2 linked regions of the Bombyx mori genome follow. The protein of the gene in region 1 interacts with the protein of each later gene in a pairwise test. Links are inferred from orthologs where the notes say so. Each region holds a gene or a part of one and is shown in the gene's direction. Other genes may lie near its edges. The genes, in order: vacuolar protein sorting-associated protein 45 and rabenosyn-5.

Region 1 (3,825 bases):
ATTTCGTGGAACAGTACCCACTCTTCAAGGTAAGGCTGGACTTACAAGAAGACTCACAATATTCACGCTGGACTCGAAGAAGACTGACTACATTCTGTCACGCTTCGATGTCATCTTGTGTATAGTCTTACTGTAGTGTAGTGTTACTGAGATCTTTTCAGTTGACTTTTTGGAGGATCTCGAGAAGTGACGTTCGGCGGCTTTGTTTAATTTTCCCACATTTGTGCACTTTCACAGATATTAAACAGTTAATAAACCACCGTTATTACACATTTAAACCTGAAGAAACACTAAATAGACAAAATAAAACAAATCACACAACTTCACTACTCGCGTTCCCGCCAAAAAGTCCAAAAATTATTATTTTTTAAATAAAGAAGAAGGGTTGCCGTGTCCGGAGGTTCCAACCCTAGTTGTGATTGTGCGCGGATGACTCCTCATTTCCCCCGTCGTGTGCGCAGAAAATGTCTGGCACGGTGACGAAGCACGTGACCGTGGTGGGGGAGCTCTCGGCCTGTGTCGGCCGCCACAAGCTGCTCGAGGTCTCCGAGCTGGAGCAGGAGATCGTCTGCCAGTCAGACCACTCTAAACACCTGCAGGTTCGCTCGATCACTACCTCATCACTCAGTTAAGGACACAGTCATGCTGTATGTTGTCGTCCTCTTTGGACATGATCTGGTTTACTGCATAGGTGGATGGAAGTGGTTACTGGAGCCCATAGACATCTACAACGTAAATGCCGCCACTCACCTTGAGATATGAGTTGTAAGGTCTCAGTATAGTTACAACGGCTACCCCACCCTTCAAACCGAAACGCATTACTGCTTCACGGCAGAAATATGTGGCGTGGTGGTACCTACCCGTGCGGACTCACAAGAGGTCCTTCCACTAGTAATATTTAACCCATTTTGTCCGCGGCGGTGGAAGTAATTTGTCACCAAGTAGGTATTGCCTTAGAACAGGGTTATAGTTGCTGTGGAATTTGCACAGTGATGTGGCTTTTTATACACTGTATAGATAGGTTTGGAAGGTAATAATCTTTATCTCTTTGGAAGATCTTTAACCGAGTGGCTGATATTACTCGGTTAGACCAACGGCTTACGATGTCTAAGGCCTAGTGGTCCGTACGTGGTGTGTGGGTGAGGGTGTGCGGGTAGCGTGACGTCACTGTCCCGTAGCGGCTGAAGGCGCTGCTACGACGTCTAGTGCCTAGTGGTCCGTACGTGGTGTGTGGGTGAGGGTGTGCGGGTAGCGTGACGTCACTGTCCCGTAGCGGCTGAAGGCGCTGCTACGACGTCTAGTGCCTAGTGGTCCGTACGTGGTGTGTGGGTGAGGGTGTGCGGGTAGCGTGACGTCACTGTCCCGTAGCGGCTGAAGGCGCTGCTACGACGTCTAGTGCCTAGTGGTCCGTACGTGGTGTGTGGGTGAGGGTGTGCGGGTAGCGTGACGTCACTGTCCCGTAGCGGCTGAAGGCGCTGCTACGACGTCTAGTGCCTAGTGGTCCGTACGTGGGGTCCGGGGTGAGGGTGTGCGGGTAGCGTGACGTCACTGTCCCGTAGCGGCTGAAGGCGCTGCTACGACGTCTAGTGCCTAGTGGTCCGTACGTGGTGTGTGGGTGAGGGTGTGCGGGTAGCGTGACGTCACTGTCCCGTAGCGGCTGAAGGCGCTGCTACGACGTCTAGTGCCTAGTGGTCCGTACGTGGGGTCCGGGGTGAGGGTGTGCGGGTAGCGTGACGTCACTGTCCCGTAGCGGCTGAAGGCGCTGCTACGACGTCTAGTGCCTAGTGGTCCGTACGTGGGGTCCAGGGTGAGGGTGTGCGGGTAGCGTGACGTCACTGTCCCGTAGCGGCTGAAGGCGCTGCTACGACGTCTAGTGCCTAGTGGTCCGTACGTGGGGTCCAGGGTGAGGGTGTGCGGGTAGCGTGACGTCACTGTCCCGTAGCGGCTGAAGGCGCTGCTACGACGTCTAGTGCCTAGTGGTCCGTACGTGGGGTCCAGGGTGAGGGTGTGCGGGTAGCGTGACGTCACTGTCCCGTAGCGGCTGAAGGCGCTGCTACGACGTCTAGTGCCTAGTGGTCCGTACGTGGGGTCCAGGGTGAGGGTGTGCGGGTAGCGTGACGTCACTGTCCCGTAGCGGCTGAAGGCGCTGCTACGACGTCTAGTGCCTAGTGGTCCGTACGTGGGGTCCAGGGTGAGGGTGTGCGGGTAGCGTGACGTCACTGTCCCGGCACAGCGGCTGAAGGCGCTGCTGGCGGACGGCGCGCTGCGGGACAGCGACGCGGCGCGGCTGGCGAGCCTGTACGCGCTGCGCTACGAGAAGCACGCGGGGCAGGGGGTGGGGGCGGCGCTGGAGCTGCTGCGGGCGCGGGGGGCGGCGGACGGGGCTCCGCTGGCCGCGCTCGAGTACGGGGGGGCGCACGCGCGACACGGGGACCTCTTCGGTCTGCAGGACGCGGTCAAGATCACCAACAGGCTCTTCAAGGTAATCTAGAATAATCCAGATACCTAGAGATTTATCATCGCTCAGTTCCTAAAATTCTTATTATTAGCACGCCAATCGAGTGCCGTGTCCGCAAGGCTTCACACCCGTCTGTATCTATAACAACATGATGGCTTGAATGTTTCAATACACAAAATATTATTTTAATAACCTAAAAGTACATGTTATTATCCGCAACACGCTTCGTCAGATTACAGAAATAGAGTTACCAGCAACATGCTTCGTCAAAAAGTACAATACTTACTTTCAGCTACAGCGTCGTCATAAGTAACATATAGGTCCACGCTAACAGCAATGCGCGCGTAGGCATCGGCTAGTCAAACAAGCCACTCTGGATCGCAACCGGCCCGAAAGTACCCATTAGTAATACCCATGTCTCAATTGAGTCTTCCATCTCCTGTCTCATACTGCCGAGCTGGAGATAAAGGACCACCGCGCCCTCTGTGCCAGTAAAAATATAATTTGAGATTGCATAAGCTCTAATAACCTCCCCTAGGTTTCTCTTATGCAATCATAGTCGGGTAGTTGCATGATCACACGCATTATGCTTATGATAAGATCGGAATAGAATAACCGTAAATAAACGTATTAAAAAACCTCTCATAATTTGTTTACGTCTATAGTAATTACATAAATAAAACCTTGACATAATTGGCGATTCCCTTCCAATATTTAAGAACAAAATTATAAAAAGTTGTTGTTGAACCTCAGCCTCAGCCTTGGTCTGAGTACTCGGGTATTACTGCCCTTGTTGTCTTTCTTTTGTTTTTAATTTTTTATTATTATTAATAGTATTGTTAAATCTCTATTAATATATTAATGTAATGCATGCTGTGATTGCCTATAATTAGAGTTGCAGTTATCAATTGCTCTATACATGTCAATGTTAAATGTCTTACTGTAAACCCTGTCGGTAATCCTTAAATAAATAAATAAATATTAAAACATTAGCCGATAGTGCCTATCCAAAGAGCTACGTGTAGTATTCATCGTTGTGTACTGTATATTGATGCAAAGAGATCCTTATGAGCTAAACAAGTGTACTAAACTATCAGGGTCTGAACGGCGTCGAAAACATATACACGCAACACACGCCCCCCCTGAAGGACACGATCGAGGATCTGTTGAGGGGCAAGCTGCGTGAGGCCCAGTACCCCACGCTGGGCGGGGACGACGGCCGCCGCCCCACGCACGTCGTCGTGTTCGTGGTGGGCGGGGCCACGTACGAGGAGTCGCTGTGCGTGCACCAGATCAACAAGGCCAACCCGGGGGCCAAGGTGGTGCTCGGCGGGACCACCATACATAACTCGGCGTCATTCTTCGAA
Region 2 (3,925 bases), on another chromosome or scaffold:
TCCCGTGCTAAGTTCGTAAAGAACTTGTATTACAGGTACCAGATAACGGAAATAAATTTAAGATTTTTATTATACACATACATATATTTAATAAACATCCATAACCCTGGAAAAGAAATTTTATATTTATCATACAAATATCCTCCCGTGGCAGGTTTCGAACCCGCGACCCCCTTGTGTAGTGACCATGTCACTTACCACTACACCAGACGGCCGTTGTATAACAGTTGTCAGTATAACACACTTGTTGAATGTCAAAATATGAATAACAATGTTAACTCTACCACTTGTTCATTCATCGTTGCCCAGGCCTAATTTTCCAAATTCCAAAAAAAAATACAAAAAATTAAACGTGTTTATAGTGGCAGCGGCAAAAATAAAGATAAAGCTGCAATGATTGATTCGTTCATCTAATCAGTTCAAATTCGATGGATTTACAGTATTTTTATATAGACGTGAATAGAACATTAATACATCTAAAGTGCTTACATTAAAAACCTCTAAAATTTGTCAAAGTTCTCAAGAGAGCGAAACGGTACTGTACGTCTTTAGTGTCTTGTGCTCTACAGAGTATAGAGTCGGCATTCAGTGAGTACTGCTGCCTTCTCTGATTCTTTTTTTTTTGTCCTAACTATGCTGATAGCCCTGAGAGGCTATTTCAACTTCTCCTTGACGTGTAGATGAGCTCACGGGGCTCAAACCGGGAGTGTTGCTAACACTGGTCCTAGCAAGAGCAGCGCTTCGCGGAATCTACCATCGGATCGGAAACGTGATCCGGCGAGAAACTCAGTGGGCTCTGTCTATGACGTTAATTCACTCGTCGAGCCCTTCCACGGTTTCGACTAGGACGGTGACCGGATTCCTGATTCTCTGGCCCCTTGACTCCGTACAGGAAGGGCCGCTCAGGTCAGGCCCTTGTGTTTTATACCGCATGGTCACTGAGGAATGTTCTAATAAACTCTTCGTCATCATTTTTCCTCATAGCCCGCAGCTAACCAGAGTTCCTTTGTGGATCTACTTAATTTTTGGAGGTGGGTAGATGGACGGATTGCTTGTATCCCGAAGGCTTCAGAACGGATGGGCGTACACGGGCAGCCAGGAACGGTGGGATATACTAATAACTGACCGATAGCCCCCGAAGGAAACCTAATAGCTCGAGAGCAGCTGTTTCGCAACCTCAACACCGAATTTCAACTCTAGGGTAAACTATTAGCGTTAAAGCTAGAAGCGACGAACATGGCTTCCGAGTGACTCCCCTCTACGATTTTTTCTGATCACTGACATTTTTTTATTTGTTGGAGTGTATTTAATAAAGCCCATAGATTATACACTTAATATATACGAATAAAGCCTATAAAAAAAAACACAGTGTGGTGTTGAATTAATGAAACGCACATGTATGGCTCAGCTGACGTTTGACACTTACTTCCTCTTGACAGTAATCACAATTACTGTGTGATTAATGTCTAGTGTTCACCTTGGTGATGATTAATAATTGCAGTTAATTTATAATGCTAAATTGGTGAGAAGTGATATTAATAATGGCAACGGCCAACGACGATGAAATTCTTGAGGGCTTCTTGTGTCCCATATGTAAAGCAGATCTCAAATCCGCCTCACAACTAACAAATCATTTCGAAAGTCTTCATCAAGAAGATCAAGATGTTTTGAAATCATTAAAAGACATTTTTGGTAAAGCAAAGACAATAATACTGAATAATGACAATGCTGATTTGAAAGAGACATTCGCGCGTGCTTTGAAGTTTAATTACCAAGATTATTATGATGAAGAGCAGGTGATCGGAGTATCACGTAGTTCAACCGATTACTTTAAGGGTGTGAGGTTTTCCAGGCTTGAAAGATACGCTACGGAGACTAATAAGCTGTTGATTCGGTTGGATAAACTCATTTGTAACATGCCAAGTGACCCTCATCAAAGAAAAATTCATGAGCAAGATGTATGTATTAAATAATTATGTTTAATAGTTAACCTGGTAACATTTAACTAACTAAAATAATATAAATGCCATTGGAATGTTAAAATAATTTCTCATTTTATTGTATATGTATTTTTCCAGGCTGTGCCATGGTTAGATGGTTCATCAGTTAATCTGTGTCCCAACTGTGCGAAACCCTTTCACTTGACACGCAGGCAACATCATTGTCGACTATGTGGCTCCATACTATGTCATGACTGCTCTGTTTTTCTAGATATTGAAGTAGCTAGTAAGTTACACATATATTATTTTAAATATTCTTCAATTATGTTATTAATATAGTAATTAACCAAAAGCAATGACCTTATGCAACTCTCCAGTATTCTAAAAAGGCACCTAACTCTTGATTGAACAGGGAAAACAAAATAATATATATTTTAGTTTAGTATCTTGTATTATTGCAGTGTAGAATTACAACTCCGATTATCTTGCCTGTAATGAGTGTATGATTTTACATTTCAGAAACTATTATAAATCCATCAGCTCCAAAACCAGTATCAAATCCGGAACTAAAGCTAACAGAGAAGAATGGATTACGTCTCTGTGAACATTGTTACAATTTGATCAAACTGCGGAAACAAGTGCAAGAAACAAGAAACACAAAGACTGAACTCGTAACGGCCTATGAAGAGATGAGGAGTCTTATGGAGCAAGCCAAACCAGCTGTTGCTATGTATGAAAAGGTATTTATAAGAATTTGTGACTACTTGTCTTGTAGTGTCAATAGAAAATATAAAAAAAAAAGAAAAAACAGTAACTACATATTAAGTACATTAAATTTCTTCTTACCAATTTTGTAAAAAATTTATTATTTTCAAACGGTACTGTTATATTCAAATATTATTGTTTTTACTTGTGTAATGTATTAGTTTGGGTATTACTAAGTGCGGATGGCTTAAAATAGATACACAATGAACTGACATGTTACCCGTTTAGTTTGCTTAGGTTCATTCATTCATTCATTCATCATCAGCGACTATTGTCATCCACTGTCGGACATCTCCCTATCCATACCACTGAGCCCCGTGTTTGGCTCTCCTCATCCACCTCTTCCGGCCAACACTCGGAGATCATTGCATGTGCTTAGGTTCATAATTCACTAAATAAAATAATAAAACAACAGCTTAAGAACAGTTTCTACATACATTACAGATGTGCCAAAGTCTCTTTGATGGTGAAACAACCTACAATATGTCTGATGTGAATGCAATGCGAGGTCGTATAGGGAAGTTGGCTGAAGGCATAGACTTGCTGAGTAAGCAGATAGTCAGCTTCCCGGCAGAGCCTGGCACAAGGCAAGCCAGGCTACAGAATGCTATAAGGCAAGCTGCAGGACATTATATTAAGGTAAATAAAAATGCTTCAATATTTATTTAAAGTGAAACTTTAAATTTTTAACTTTAAATAAATATTTACCCTCAACTAGTTTTTAGAGATTTCTAATGTAGTCATGTCGGAATCATGATTTAGACAGCGACTTTGTATTGCTTACTTCTATAACCATCAGCTTGGCTGTAATAAAAAATGTTTAGAACAAAAGCCTGGTAATATTCTTAATCTTCCCATGTACCTAACACGAATTAAAACCATAAAATAATTATTTTGTTCCTTAATTTTGGACTGAAATCTTGTCAAATTTGGATTTCTGAAATTTAGAGTAGATGGCTCGCTGGAGTCATGTTCTTACTGACTACGAAAAACATTTCAACACATCTAATAATAAAAGTACTGGATACTGATTGTAGATAATAAAGAGAGAAAAAAAGAAGAAAATATATTTCTACGTTTATTGCCTTGACATTCATTTTCAAATAACGTTCTGATTTCAGGAAGACTTACTGTCCTTAAGGAAGCTCCCGACCGAAGCTCAGATCGAGGAGGTGCGTCGTCAGCGCTACGAGCGTGCCGAGAAACAAATACAAATGGAG

The links.
Region 2: the proteins of vacuolar protein sorting-associated protein 45 (region 1) and rabenosyn-5 interact in a two-hybrid assay, tested with the Drosophila melanogaster proteins (2 studies listed by BioGRID). The link is inferred for Bombyx mori from reciprocal best matches to the Drosophila melanogaster genes Vps45 and Rbsn-5.

The regions. Positions count from the first base shown.
Region 1 is NC_085122.1:2,067,573-2,071,397, forward strand, and holds part of vacuolar protein sorting-associated protein 45, read left to right. Parts: coding exon 1-29; intron 30-461; coding exon 462-599; intron 600-2,233; coding exon 2,234-2,482; intron 2,483-3,555; coding exon 3,556-3,825.
Region 2 is NC_085116.1:3,152,450-3,156,374, forward strand, and holds the start of rabenosyn-5, read left to right. Parts: upstream 1-1,373; 5' UTR 1,374-1,541; coding exon 1,542-1,958; intron 1,959-2,078; coding exon 2,079-2,226; intron 2,227-2,459; coding exon 2,460-2,680; intron 2,681-3,149; coding exon 3,150-3,344; intron 3,345-3,826; coding exon 3,827-3,925.